Linked DNA regions of Mus musculus. The protein of the gene in region 1 interacts with the protein of each later gene in a biochemical or structural test. Links are inferred from orthologs where the notes say so. Each region holds a gene or a part of one and is shown on either strand. Other genes may lie near its edges.

Region 1 (4,022 bases):
ACTAATAATGTGCTAGACAATAATATCAATAGCATTAATTCTTCCCAAATAAAGACTTGGGTCATTTTGTCAGGGAGAGGGAAGTTTGAAATATCAAAGTACTATCTGTGAGTGAAGGGAGTTTGGGTCTTCAGTAGGTGGGGTCTTCAAACAATTACCAAGGTGGGAGCTGAGGCAGCTCTGAGTACAATATGTTAGTAGTCCTGTGTGCACATTATAGAGTATATATCAGCACACCCCTAGGGTGTGCATTAATCTCTCTATCCAGTGTGTAAACTGAAACAGAGCATCCTCTGGTGGTGAATAGCAAAATAGACATTGACTCTACCCTCTGCCTTATTTTGGGACCCAAGTTCTTTGCCTGCAGGAAATAGCAGCAGACCTTCCGTGGTAGAAGCAGAGTCGTTTTCTGATGTTTATAGATGTCTTCGTCCTTTCGGATGCTTGACTCTTTTTCATTCTGCTTTCTAGGACTGTTGTGCTCCAGGAACCAAGCCCCAGTACAACAGCACAATCTAGACAGTAGATGTTGCCTGGCGGCCTTTCACTAAGAGAGATCTCTTAAACAGGACTAGAAATTTCAAATCACAGAATGGTTTTGTTTCCTAAATATAATAAATAGCGAGGAAAATTCCACTGCTGTTTTTAGCGCAAGTTATAATACAATATCAATTGTCCATAAGTCTTAACTCCCTTCACTGGTACAACACATACCTTGACATCATAAAGAATAAATTTCTAGCCCCAAACTATTTGAAAAGAGCAAAATCACACAACAGAGTGGTGGGAAATGGGTATACTTCAAGTACTCTGTACAATTAATATATACTAATAAAAAACAGTGACGGTGGCGGGATCAGTCTTGGGGGAAGCTATCCATCCCTGTAGGAAACAGATGGTGACTCCTCCCTCTCCCATTCAGACCTCTTCTCTCAGAAGCTCCCAGGTAAGAAGAAAAGACCAGTGTCAAAGATCGATATCCTGTAGATTACATTCTGTTAAAGGGGACAAGGGGGCCTTAGAGAGACCCAGGAGGACAGGTACTGAGTTTTTTCCCTGCCTGTGGCCAGGAGTCAGTTTCTTGCACCTCTGACCTCTCTCCTCCCACTCTCTGCCCTGTCTCTGCCCAGTCTCCGCCCAGCCTCCGCCTTCTCTGCCTCTAACCTCCTCTTGCCACTCAACTCCTCACTCCTCCCCTTGCTCCTCCCTCTTCCTGCTAGACCTGCCTCTGAGAGGAAACTGAAAGTGAAATTTGGACTGCAGGCTTGCAAAAGCGAAGCTGGGAGCACATAACTAAAGCTGAGGACCCTGGTTAGGTGAGTGAGACTGGGACCCCTGGCCGGCCTAGGTGGGCTCTTTATCCCCACACCAGATTCAAGGAGCCTCTTCCCATCAGCACCCCACACTCGGGAATTTGCGAACCCACCTGCTGCTTCTTTTCATCAGAGTTGTCTTGTCCTAGCCCTGCAGAGCTGCCCATGCTGGCCTGTGGAAGCTGGGCTCTGAAAGTGACTTTCCTAGTGCCCTGGACTAGCTGAGACGACAGTCCTAGCAAGGGCAGGAGAAGCAGGGTGGTGACCTAGGCCAGAGGGGAGCTCAGGGAAACCCTTACCCCTTGAAGATCCCTGCTTGAGGAGAGTGCTATCCATGTAGAAATTTCTGTGGATTTAAGATACTCCACACCCTAAAGGAAGTTGAGACTAGGTTTGGAGCAGCTTAGAGAAGAGCCCAGGGAGTGCTCCCCAAAAATGTTCACCGGTGAGCACACCTGCATGTTATGTACATAGACATTTATAGAGGGGAACATATGGGCACGCCTACATTGATGCATTTGTGCACAAGTATAGTTTGCATATAAAAACATCAATATATGTGTACATACATATATAAAAACATGCATATACACACATGCAACTCTTATAACTGGGCCATATACTCTTAGACAATGTACTCCGGATAATGAATGACATCTTACATGAACCTGAGTGGGGTCGCTAATGACACACCTAGGCTGCATTGTGTTGCCTATTGCACAACCACCATATGTGCAGCCTGTCATATTTGACAAAATGTCTACTATGATGTATAGCTGCATAAACCTTGACTCCTAATGCCTGACCCCTGTGGTTTCTGCCAAGATTAATGAAGACTAGTATGAGCTAACTCTGGTTGGAATATGGAGGGTCTGTGGTGATATGGTAAATGGTCGTTACTGCCATGACTGACGTCTCTGGGCAGTAGAGGCATAAGATGACAGAAAGGAAATGGGAGACGCCTAGACAGTGAGGGTTAAGCAGGGATGGGTGTGGTGACGGTGGAGCTGTTAGCAGCGTTACCCCCACCAGTTTTCTCTGTCTCTTCTAGAAACTCGGTTTCCCCTTCTGCCTGGCTTGCTCAGTGGGTGAGGCCGGAGGAGAGGCTCCTGTCATTCAGGTTGGTGCTTTTGCCTTCTGCCTTTCCCTCCTGTGTCATCGCTTGTCCACCTTGGCATTATTTGGGGGAGTTTGGGGTTTGCCTTGCTTTTGCTTTTGTCCTACAAACTCTCATTTTTATCTCTTCGCCCCTCTGCATCTCTCAAGATTCCACGGCAGATATCACCCTCTACAACCTCAAAAATGTCTCTGGAAAAGATGTGGGAGGAGGTCACCTGTTCTATCTGCCTGGATCCCATGGTGGAGCCTATGAGTATCGAATGTGGCCATTGCTTTTGCAAGGAATGCATTTTTGAAGTTGGGAAGAATGGGGGCAGTTCATGTCCCGAGTGCCGGCAACAGTTTCTGCTCCGAAACCTCAGGCCCAATAGACATATAGCCAACATGGTGGAAAACCTTAAACAGATAGCCCAGAATACCAAGAAGAGTACCCAGGAAACGCACTGCATGAAGCATGGAGAGAAGCTTCACCTATTCTGTGAGGAAGATGGGCAGGCCCTTTGCTGGGTGTGTGCCCAGTCTGGGAAACACCGGGACCACACCAGGGTCCCTATTGAAGAGGCTGCTAAGGTATACCAGGTAAGGCCTTAGCACAGACTAAAGAACATAGCCACTTTGTCCCCCAGAATGGTGGCTGAGAAGTTGGGGGATGAAGGGATAATTTCTCCCTTCATTGAGAGGAGCTTGTGTATGGAATACAACTTTATTTCTCAGCAGCAGAGGCAAAGCCATGGGAAAGGAGTCATGCATCGTGCTTCCTCGTGGCTCCCGGGTACATTAGAAATGCAGTGGCCCAGATCCCGTTACCCATTGGTGTAACTCTGTTTTTGTTAAGACATACTAGATTTCTTCCATAGTCTTTCCATCTGCCTCCTCCAACCTGGGGACTAACCTGCCATCTTTTTCTACAGGAGAAGATCCACGTGGCTTTAGAAAAACTGAGAAAGGGGAAAGAGTTGGCCGAGAAGATGGAAATGGATCTCACGATGCAAAGAACAGACTGGAAGGCAAGAGCTGTAGGCTGGGCTGTGTCCCAGGTCTTGACCTCAAGCAAGCCTTAACCATGACTGTGCCTATCCAAGGGGCGGTAGAGTTATTATATAGGTCACTCTCCAAGACCCATCCACACACTGTGACTCCAGATAGAGAGGAATTGAAAGAAAGGAAGGAAGAGAGGAGAAGGAAAGAGAGAAGGAAAGGAAGGAGGGAGGGATAGAAGAGAGTCAGGGATGAAGGGAGGCAGAAGGGAGGGAGGGAAGAGGAAAGAAGGAAGCTTAAAATCAGATGGGATTTTCCCCAATCTGGCACAAATATCAAGAATTTCTGGAGAAAGTTTAAGGTTTCGTCATTCCTTCTGACCCTGTCTCAGGGAACAGCATAGTCAACATTAGTTTCTTGGGTCTGTGATAGGAAGTCCACCTGACCTGGTGGCTGCTTGATGGTGAGCAAGTTATTAGTCCAAAGCCTGCTAGGGACCTAAAGCCTGTCACAGTGAGAATTTGCTGGTAGAAAATGAAATGCATCTGAAACTGGGTAGGAATGAGAGGCTCACAGCCAATCACAGACCCCAAATGAGTAGCAAAAACTTGA
Region 2 (3,500 bases), on another chromosome or scaffold:
GTTTTGCTTTGAAGCCTGACGTAGGCTAGGCCGGGTACACGTGAAGTAGGTCAGACTGTAGGTCTACATCAAGCATCTCTGTACTGACTTCAGACCAGAGACAGTCAGAGACAGCGCTTCAGGAGAGTCACCTCCAACCTCCTTGTTCCCAGTCCTCAAACTCCTTCTGTAGCTGACACCCTAGCAGCACCTGGTCCTCCTGTCCCGTCTGCTAGGCACAGGGTTAACAGATGTATACTACCACCATGCCTGTCATCTTCTCCTTTTTTTTTCTTTTTTTTTTTTGGTTTTTCGAGACGGGGTTTCTCTGTGTAGCTCTGGCTGTCCTGGAACTCACTCTGTAGACCAGGCTGGCCGCCAACTCAGAAATCCGCCTGCCTCTGCCTCCCGAGTTCTGGGATTAAAGGCGTGCGCCACCATGCCCGGCTTTTTCTTCTTGAGACAAGATGTTACAATATAGACCTGGCTGGTCTGGAACTCGACAGGGATGCACCAGCCTCTACCTTCTGAGTGCAGGAATCAAGTGTGTGTGCTATCACACCTGGTTTCTATTTAAAAAAAAAAAAAAATCATCTGCCTTGGGTTACAGCTGAGTTGCACCTTCACGGGTACTTTCTTGTCTACACTGGTCTGAGATCAGTGACTTCTGTCATCCTCAGTGTGGGTGTTGATAAACAGGCTTAGCAGGGAGTACACTTTGTGGCTGACAGGTGATGAATCTTGTTGGATTTTCCGCTGAGTGTTTCATATACCTTTGTGATGGGTGTAAAATGCATGTTCAACATGTTACATATTTACTTTCCATTCCACACAGTGTCCATGAGAACTCTTTTTTTTTTTTAAAGGTTATTTGTTTTATGTATATGAGTACACTGAAGCTGTCTTCAGACACACCAGAAGAGGGAATCAAATCCCATTACAGATGGTTGTGAGCCACCATGAGGTTGCTGGGAATTGAACTGAGGGCTGTGGGCATGGTTGCTTGGGAAGAAAATACCCTACCCACCCCCACCCCTCACCCCCCTCCCAGCCCTCAGCACCTCATTCATTTGCCTTCTTAGTAAATGTTTCATGTGTAGATGGGGTCTGAGTTCAAGCACTATCAATAGGATTGCTATTATAAGTATTTATAATTATTAGCCATTGTACTCTCTTCTTCAGGACAGCCAGGGCTACACAGAGAAACCCTGTCTTGAAAAACAAAGCCAAACAAAAACCTATTCTTATTGAACTCAAGTTCATGGATTTGGCAGCAAGTACCTTTACCTGCTGAGCCATCTCCCCGGCTCATTTTCCCTCCAGTCTCCTTCCTGTCATCTCTGCAGTGGAGGCAGGAAGATCAGAAATTAAAGGTCATCTTTGGCTGTGTAGAATTCAAGGTCACGCTGTACTGCATGTGACCCTCAAAACAGACGACAAAAATGAGAAGGGGGCAAGTAGGGCAGGGGATTTGGGAGGGCTTGGGGAAAGGCAAAAAATATGGCTAAAATATAGCTCAATAAATTTTATTTTAGAATTACTTTTTACCCCTATATATCCTTGGCTGTCCTGGAGCTCCTACATAGACCAGGCTGACTCTAAATTCACAAAAATCCACCTACCACTGCCTCCCAAGTCCTCAGATTAAAGGGTGCACCACCATGTTCACCTTCAATACATTTGACTTCAGAAGAAGAAAATGAACAGAGAGGCTCCTTTCCTCTCCATCCTTCCTCCTTGTTCTTTTTGACATGGAGTCTAGCTGTGTTGCCCAAGCTGACCTTGAACTTCGGGGCTTAACCTATTCCTCCTCAGCTTCCTGCGTAGTGGAGACTATGAGGATGAACCACGGACTCCAGCTCACTTTTCTCTCATTATAGAAGAGATACAAGTTCCTCATAGAACAAGACTCAGGATAAAGAGTGGGCAGGTCTGCTTTGTTTTGTAGCCAGTGACAGTGTTTTGGAATATTGTGCTTGTTCCTGTTGAATCTTTTCTTATGAAAAATACATAAGAATCTTGTTTCAAAAAACAAGCAACCAAACAAAAAGAAACTTCTGGGGAAAAGAAAAATGAGATCTGCCCTGATTTCCTTTTTCAGATCCTGAGAGTCAGACCTTGAAGGAGCACTTAATCGATGAGCTGGACTATGTGCTGGTCCCAGCCGAAGCCTGGAATAAATTGCTGAATTGGTATGGCTGTGTGGAGGGCCAGCAGCCTATTGTCAGAAAAGTGAGTTGACAAGTTGTTAGACCTGCTAGGTGTGTATGTGAGTTCTCCTTGGGTACACTGACTTCTCTTTATTTCCCGGGAGGATGAAAACGGTTACATGGTTGAAAATGAAGCAGGTGAGACTTTGTAATGTTTTTGGATTTTGGTTTGTTTTTGTTTTTGAAACAGGGTTTTTCTGAGTATCCCTTACTAGTAAGTAGTTCTGGAACTTTCTATGTAGCCCAAACCAGCCTCAAACTCAGAGATCCCTAAGTACTGAGATTAAAGATGTACCAGGCTTTAGACCTTGTTTATGTTTCCTGAGACAGGATCTCTGTGTATCCCGGGCTGGTCTTGTTCTGGTCATCTCCTGCCTCTTGTATGCTGGAATTTTGGCCTGAATGACTATTCTACTTCTCTCTGGGATATGAAGTATTTGTGAGTAACTCAGGATGTTCCTAAGTGGCCTCCAAATACAAGAGCTGCCTGCTGGTTTGGAATGCCCATAGTACTTGGAACCCAGCTCTTCAGTTGGGCTGTGTGGACATAATCGAATGCATTGCACCTTGCACCGCTTCCTTTTCCCCAGGACTGGGAGTGAACCTAGGGCCGAATAGAATACATGACTCACTGAGTGTCCTAGCACTGAGCTATATCCAGCCCTCTTTTTTTTTTCTTTGAGATGGTGTTGTACTGAGTTAACCAGGCCAAATTTGAACTCACTTATAGCTCAAGTAGGCCTAGAACTTTGACCATTTTGAGCCTTTTCATTGAGGCTCCTGGATGTTGAGATAACTAGTGTGAGCCACCATGCTTACCTAACAACTTCTCTTTTTCTTTTTCTTTTTCTTTTCTTTTCTTTTCTTTTCTTTTCTTTTCTTTTCTTTTCTTTTCTTTTCTTTCTTTCTTTCTTTCTTTCTTTCTTTCTTTCTTTCTTTCTTTTTAGATTTATTTATTTATTAAAGTACACTGTTGTTGTCTTCAGGCACTCCAGAAGAGGGCGGCAGATCTCATTATGGATGGTTGTGAGCCACCATGTGGTTGCTGGGATTTGAATTCAGGACCTCTGGAAGAAGTCAGTGCTCTTAACCACTGAGCCATCTCTCCAGCCCTCTAACAACTTTTCTAAAGCCATTTCCCCTGTGCTCATGAGTCTGATTGTACTGCTGAGTAGTAAAAACGTAGGTGTTTATATGCATAGGAGAACTTCTCAAGTTCTCACACTGAGACACACAGCTTTGTGCCTTTGGTGGACAGAACACATGAGATCACTGCCTTGTCTCTCAGCTACTAGCTTTTCTTACTAGAAA
Region 3 (3,500 bases), on another chromosome or scaffold:
CACAGGGCAGACATCTTTTAGCTGAGATTCATCTCTAGCTCTGAATGTCTTACACGACACATTCAGATGAGACCCTGGTGTCAACTGAAGACACAGATACAGGTGAGGAGCCGCTGTGGGGGTGGGGTGGAGGTGGCTTTGCCCTAGATCCATCAGAAGAGATACCATTTTGCTGACAACTGGATTCTTAACCTCTGGTCTCTGAAGCTCTGAAAGAACAATGTCTGCTGCCTGGAGCTCCTTGTGGTACGTACAGTAGCCACGTGGGCAGTAAAAACACTCACATAAACCCTCCCTTCCGGAACCCTCCCTGCCCACTCCATGCCACAGGTCAGCCTGTGCCTCCTTGGAGGGCCATGGCAGTGCGTGGGGAGGAGACCTGAGAGGCCGGAGTAAGTCACTCACACAGGCGATCTTCAGGAGGTTCCAGAGTTCCTTCTGCCGCTTCTCCTGAAGCCGGACCACGGTCCTCTCGTCCTCGTTCATAAGGCTCACTACCTCTTCTACCTTGGGCAGCAACTCCAGTGCCTTCTGCTTACAAACCACGGTCTTACTGTAAGGACAGAGAGAGCCACACTCCCGAGAGCTCTGGGCCAGCACAGAGCTGTTCCCAATTAGGATCGGTTCTTCACTGTGTAGGCAAGGCAGAGCAGAGCGAGGGCATCCATCTGCCCCTTGTCTTTGCTTGATTCTCCATCCTGTCCTGGAGGAGGCGAGGGAGTGCCTACCTGAGCTGTGTATAAATCACCCGAACTTTCTTCTCAAAGCTTTGGATTGCCTGAAGCAGCAGCCGTACCATCTCCTGGCTGTCACCTTCTGTCCTTTGGTCTGCAGAGGGGAGTGGCATAGTTCCTCCTACTGGCCTCCAGGGTAGACCAGTGTCTCAAAGACAAGACAAAGCATGTACCTCTTGGCTTCTCCCTGAGTCTTCGGTAGAGCTCCCTCGCTTGTTCCTCTCTGGAAGAGGGAAGGCCAGAGTCAAGGCACACCAAGGACATTTAAGCACCAGCCTGCTAACTCTTGCCAGCGGATCACTACTCTTTAGACTACTGGTCATATGCTCTCAATGGGAATAAAACCTGCCAGTTATGGTAATATTTATAAAACCCAAATGCCACAAACGAGAACAGCCTTAAAGATTACAGTCCTCTTCTGCTTAGCTACAAGAGTGATTCAAGGTCACTCTTGGTCACCATTTCTGGACCTGACCAAGAAAATACTTGCCCTCAAAAGCCTAAGTCCAAAGCTAGACATGAAGGCCTATTTCTTCCTCTAACACAGGCAGGCTGGCAACAGCCTCAGAAGGAGGCTCTAACTGATCTCGGTTGCACACACAGGAAGCTGAGGTAGTAGGATTTCTGTGAATTTGAGGCAAGTCTTGACTCCCTAGCGAGCACAAGGTCTGGAATACTATGGAGTGAGACCCTGTTTTGGAACAAAGAACACCTGCACACACATGTGCACACACGGACATCCATATACGCATGTGCACAAAGTGCAGATTTTCATTTGGAAACTTGAAGAACGAGTAAAGGGTTACTGTATAAGAGACAATGGAGAACAAATAATTCTTTGTTTTCAGATGTCTCACCCTAAGAATTCTAGTAAGAGCATCAGGTGACACTGATCCCTTCAGGTGACAGGGCCCTTAAACTGACCCACCTGCCTAGAGCCCTCTGTGAGCACACAGGGCAGCATGCTAGGGTCTCCAGGCAGGATGGATCTGCTTGGTGCCCTGACTCCTCTTGGACACAGTGCCAAACTCTTGGACTCGGTGGGCTCCTCCCTCAGTTCTACTTCCTGCTCTGGGAGCCACACCTAGAGCGCTGGGCTGTCTGAGCAGGGACGTCTGCTACCACAGACACGTGCTCGTGTGTGTGTGTGTGTGTGTGTGTGTGAGCATGTGTGTGTGTGTTTCACAACCTTTAAAAGTTATCAGCTGGCTCCTCCCACTCTGGGAGGACACCTTTCCTTGTCACTTCACAGGGACAAGGCTCAAAGTGACAGCCATTTGTCACAACTTATCCTAGAGAATGAGCCAAAGTGATTCACTAGGAGCTATACCCCACAGAACCTCCTGAAACTCTACAGGGTGTCAATGTGCTCTGTGTCAGTGTCGCCCCTCCCCAGTTATACTCACAGGTCATCCAGGGTGCCCCCCTGCTTCCGACCCATCGGGCTCCTCTGCAGGTCCACAATGTCAGTCTGCAGTGCCATCATCCGCTCTACTAGATGCTTCACGTCATTCTCCTGATGGGAAAGCTGTGCTCATGCCACCTGATGGACAGAGGGCATCCTGGGAGGACAGATGGGATGGGCAGGCTGGGGAGACCCTCAGCTGACTGGCTAGAAGGCATGTGTGTTCAGGAATAAGTTGCTCCAAGCTTGGATCTCATGGCTACCACTTTCTAGCGTGAGACCCTCAAAAGTTCCTTAACTGTAAGCCAGTTTCCCCTGCTAGAAGCAAACTTTCAACAGGGCTTAACGGCATAGGTAAAACCAATAGAATAAGCTCACTGTCGGGCAGAGATGATGTCCAGTGCAGATTATTGTCTTCTTTTACTGTGTCTACCAAAAGCGGGTGCTAAAGCTGACTATCAAACTGGCGAGGAAGACACACAGTTCTTCAGAATTAGACAAAAGGAACTACATACAGGGCGAACATCTTTGAATAAGATGCATCACTGTGACTGTATGCATATGCTCATGCGTGTGTATGTGTGTGTGTGTGCTGGCATCTGCGTACCACAGTGCCTATGTGTGTGGCGGCTGGAGAACACTTTCAGGAGTGGAGTGTCTCGTTCTGTGTTTCTGAGGCAAGTCCTTCTTGTTGGTTCTGACACATTGTGTACTTCAGAGGGGTTGGCCTGTGAGCTTCCAGCAACTCTCGTCTCTGCCTCCCATCTCGCTGGAGGAACACTGAGACTGCAGGTGCATGCTATTATCAGCTTTTTAAAAGGTGGGTTCTGGACATCAGACTCAAGTCATCAGGCGTAAAGGAGCAAGCACCTTTACCCACTGAGCCTTTGACTGGCCTCATGTCCATGTACCTTTAGGTAAGTGTTGACCTACTAGGTCTCATTTACAGTTACATACTAGGACCCGGAGGAAAAGGCCCTGTCCAGTGCACAGGAATTGGAGCGGGAGAAGCTCTGGCAGGCGGGGTCTTGGATCTGTGCATGATGCCTCACGTTACACTTCTCTAGCCTTGTGAAGAGGAGTCTGAAATGGTGCCTAAGGCATACTATCCTGAGACTTCTGCTTAGACCCTTTCTTCCTTACAGATTCCATGCTTTGGCAAGTTTGGGAGGAAACCCTGTGAGGCGGGAGCAGGAAACCTTGACTCTCCCAAGGGCACCTGACACTTCTTTACTAAATCCGGAGCAACTCTGCCCAGCTCTCAGGTCTGGGCATAGCGGGGCTCTCTCGTCTCTCTATGCTGCGTCCGTCCAGCAAGTCAGGTTAGGGTCAGAGGATGTGTTGAGGAAATGCTCAGTTTG
Region 4 (3,500 bases), on another chromosome or scaffold:
CTAGAGTGTCACAGAAGGATAGGAAAGAGGTTGAGGATACTGTCTAAAAAGGTTTTCATTAATATAGAAAGTAGTGTTTTGAAAGAAAATAAGATTGTGTGATCTGAAAGGAAGAGCCCAGTATGGACCCTGATATTAGCATATGTTGGAGCTTTTATTTGTTTGTTATTTGTAGTTTGTTTCAGATCTGACTTACAAGCCTGGTTCTGACCTTGACCTGATTTCTTTAATCTAGAGTGTCACAGAAGGATAGGAAAGAGGTTATTACTATGGAGTTAGAGAGATAGCTCAGCAGGTAAGAGGGTGTGTATCGTCCTGATCCTAGTACACACACACACACACACACACACACACCAGACAGACAGACAACCCTGCTCTGAAGGCCAGAAAGATTAAAACAAAACACAAGGTAGTGACCTGTGTTCAATATATGAACCCACATAGAGGTGGAAGGAAAGGGTCAAAAAGCTGCATGTTGTATGCTGTGGTTGTGAGTGCTCCACCCCATACAACAATAATACATTTACCCAATCATACATAGTATACACAATAATGATACATTTTAAAAGTTCTCTACAAAGAGAAAAATGCAGTATGAGAGTTGCTGAGTGAAGTGCAGCACTACCCTCTGGTTGCTCTGCCCAGTGCCTGGCAGGACAGTGTTCTCTTTTCCCCTTCATTTCAATCCTTTTCATTTAAGTTTTAAATCTGTTTCCTTTTTTCTTTTTCCTGCCTTAGGTGGATCGTAGACATGGAAGGTGCACCAGGAACCTTATATGAAGGGGAAAAATTTCAACTTTTGTTTAAATTTAGTAGTCGATACCCTTTTGACTCTCCTCAGGTAACCTTGCATGTACCATTGTGTTTTTAGAGTATAGCAAAACACTAAATTGGTTATTTTTGCCTAGCTAGACCTATATCACAAACCCAATATAAATATGTAGATAGAACTATCTTTACATAAGTCAGGATTTTGTGAATTTTATTGGGACAGAGGCTTTTGATCTGTCATGCTACCAGGAGCTTCAAGTGGTTTGTCATCCATGGGTTTCATGAGCAATGGGGAAGGTTACCGTTTGTAATAGCTGCAGGGACTCTTTTCTAGAACCACTGACCACACCAATAAAGGCTCTTTTAGGACTGCCTTTGGTTTTCTATTGATGTGTTTTCTTTGCAGTCTTTAAAAACAAGTGTGTGTTTACAGATGTCAAATACATGAAGTCAACTGAAATCTGATGATTATGGTTTGAAGCAAACGCAGTTTAGTTAATAGTTTAATACTTAGACAAGGAAAAATGCTGGTAGTGGAATTAAAAGCAAACCTTTCTTGTGGAGGGGCTTTGTGTGCTAGTGGTTTTGCCTCCATGTCCGTCTGTGCCCCACATGTGTGCCTGATGTCCTGGGAGGTCAGAAGACGATGTTGGATGTGAGCAGCCATGTGAGTGCTGAAATTGAACCTGGGTTCTCTGGAGAACAAGTGCTGCTAACAGTTGGGCTCTCTCCAGCCCCAGGGGATGTTTTTAAGAGGTATTTAACTAGTAAATAATTAATTGGATGTTAGAGAGGGGGAGATTCTGGGATGATCTCCAGGTTCCTGACTTGTAAGACAGTGAGTTACTTGAATTATTTATTCTCCACAAATTATAAGATTTCACATTTTAAGCTTTGTGAGGTGTGTTGCTAAAATGAAACCCTGCCAACCCTCTGTGTTACTGCTAAGTAATGAAGTCTTCTGGAAAATAAACCAGTACCTAAAATTCAACTTGGTATATGATTATGTGGAAATGTGCTATTTTGAGTAAAGTCATATTTCATTGTCACCTTCAAATTAATATTCTAAATTTACCTTAAGTATTGTTTTGGCCACAAGAGAAAATAAAGGACATTAGTTATTGCATTATGCTATAAAGGGAATTGTATAAAGAGGTAGGATTAACTAAATACTCCTTGAATTACAAAGTTGTCCTATGAACAAAAAGTTAAGCCTTAAGGCTCCTTTGACCATTTTTATAGAGCTGTGAAGTGAGGGGATCTGCTGCCATGACCTGTCACTATAAAGGCGTCTGTTAGTCACAAGCACAGCCATCTCCCTTCTCACTAAGAATAGGAATAAGAAGATTTACTTTCTCTAATATCTGAGATCCTTCACCTTTGTGCCCTTAGCTATTTCTACCTGTACTGGCTGGTTTTGGGTGTCAACTTGACACAGCTGGGGTTATCACAGAGAAAGGAGCTTCAGTTGAGGAAATGCCTCCATGAGATCCAGCTGCAAGACATTTTCTCAATTAGTGATCAAGGGGGAAAGGCCCCTTGTGGGTGGGACCATCTCTGGGCTGGCAGTCTTGGGTTCTATAAGAGAGCAGGCTGAGCAAGCCAGGGGAAGCAAGCCAGTAAGGAACATCCCTCCATGGCCTCTGCATCAGCTCCTGCTTCCTGTCCTGACTTTCTTTGGTGATGAACAGGAAACTGGGAAGTGTAAGCTGAATAAACCCTTTCCTCCCCAATTTACTTCTTGTTCATGATGTTTGTGCAGGGGTAGAAACCCTAAGACACTGCCTTCAACTTAGTGAGGATTCTGGAAGGAACAGATTTTTTTTTTTATCATACGAAAATAGTATTTCTATAAACATAAAACTAAGTCAAAAAGCATTCTGCAAATTCCGTCTTTAGTCCTTTATTCAAAATCAGATATCAAATTTAAATATTTACAAATCACCATTTATAATAAATTTATTCTCTCCTTTTCTTCCTGCTCCTTTGATTTTTAATAATTTCAGATTTATTATTCAGCAATATTTCATTCTTTAATATTAAGATAAATTAAACAGCTGATTTAGATCACTGCTGTGGGTACATACCTTTCTAAAATTTCATAAGTCTTTTGGATACCAATGTTTTTCCTCCCCCAAGAAAGTGAGTGTTTCTCTGTGTAGCCCTGGCTTTTCTGGAACTCACTATGCAGACGGTGCTGGCCTCACAACTCACTGAGATCCGCCTGCCTCTACCTCCTGAGTGCTGGGATTAAGGGCATGTGCCACTAAGCCCTAATGACATTTCAGATTTAATGCATCCAAACTTAATCGTTTACAGTAATGAAATAGAAAAAAAATTCTTGTATATGTTGGGTTTCTGTTTACCTTCTGTTTTGTTTTAAATTGTCTGCTTTCATGTATTCCTAGATACAGTTTTTCAATCTTTTTGCAATCTTTAAGCCAGTCCATTTCTCTTATCTTAGGATTTGGACTGTAGAACAAGGAATTATCTTCCAGCTGGGCTGTTTCAATAGGATAATGTTTCATTAGTTTATACTTGTGTTATATACCTTTTCACAGTGCTAGAATCAAAACCTTATACTTGCTCCCTTTCCACCCCCCCCCACTCTCTATGTATATACACATGTCCCACGCCCTCCCATACCCTTGCCTTCTTTTTGCCTTTCTTAGTAAAATCTGTGAATGATTATTTCCTGTGGAAGCAAGTCTTTACCTTGGGTATAAAGT

What was found.
Region 2: of the proteins of Trim21 (region 1) and Usp4, one has a biochemical effect on the other in vitro, tested with the Homo sapiens proteins (2 studies listed by BioGRID). The link is inferred for Mus musculus from reciprocal best matches to the Homo sapiens genes TRIM21 and USP4.
Region 3: of the proteins of Trim21 (region 1) and Ikbkb, one has a biochemical effect on the other in vitro, tested with the Homo sapiens proteins (2 studies listed by BioGRID). The link is inferred for Mus musculus from reciprocal best matches to the Homo sapiens genes TRIM21 and IKBKB.
Region 4: the proteins of Trim21 (region 1) and Ube2w are reported together in a solved structure, tested with the Homo sapiens proteins (2 studies listed by BioGRID, with this or other methods). The link is inferred for Mus musculus from reciprocal best matches to the Homo sapiens genes TRIM21 and UBE2W.

The regions. Positions count from the first base shown.
Region 1 is NC_000073.6:102,562,683-102,566,704, reverse strand, and holds the start of Trim21 (E3 ubiquitin-protein ligase TRIM21), read left to right. Parts: upstream 1-1,222; 5' UTR 1,223-1,316; intron 1,317-2,364; 5' UTR 2,365-2,433; intron 2,434-2,579; 5' UTR 2,580-2,615; coding exon 2,616-3,011; intron 3,012-3,343; coding exon 3,344-3,439; intron 3,440-4,022. UniProt on the Homo sapiens protein: E3 ubiquitin-protein ligase whose activity is dependent on E2 enzymes, UBE2D1, UBE2D2, UBE2E1 and UBE2E2.
Region 2 is NC_000075.6:108,354,331-108,357,830, forward strand, and holds part of Usp4 (ubiquitin carboxyl-terminal hydrolase 4), read left to right. Parts: intron 1-2,080; coding exon 2,081-2,211; intron 2,212-3,500.
Region 3 is NC_000074.6:22,665,084-22,668,583, forward strand, and holds part of Ikbkb (inhibitor of nuclear factor kappa-B kinase subunit beta), read right to left. Parts: intron 2,297-3,500; exon of another isoform or gene 2,278-2,296; coding exon of another isoform or gene 2,269-2,277; exon of another isoform or gene 2,251-2,268; coding exon 2,141-2,250; intron 958-2,140; coding exon 908-957; intron 829-907; coding exon 729-828; intron 554-728; coding exon 406-553; intron 1-405.
Region 4 is NC_000067.6:16,595,292-16,598,791, reverse strand, and holds part of Ube2w (ubiquitin-conjugating enzyme E2 W), read left to right. Parts: intron 1-738; coding exon 739-841; intron 842-849; exon of another isoform or gene 850-3,500. UniProt on the Homo sapiens protein: Accepts ubiquitin from the E1 complex and catalyzes its covalent attachment to other proteins.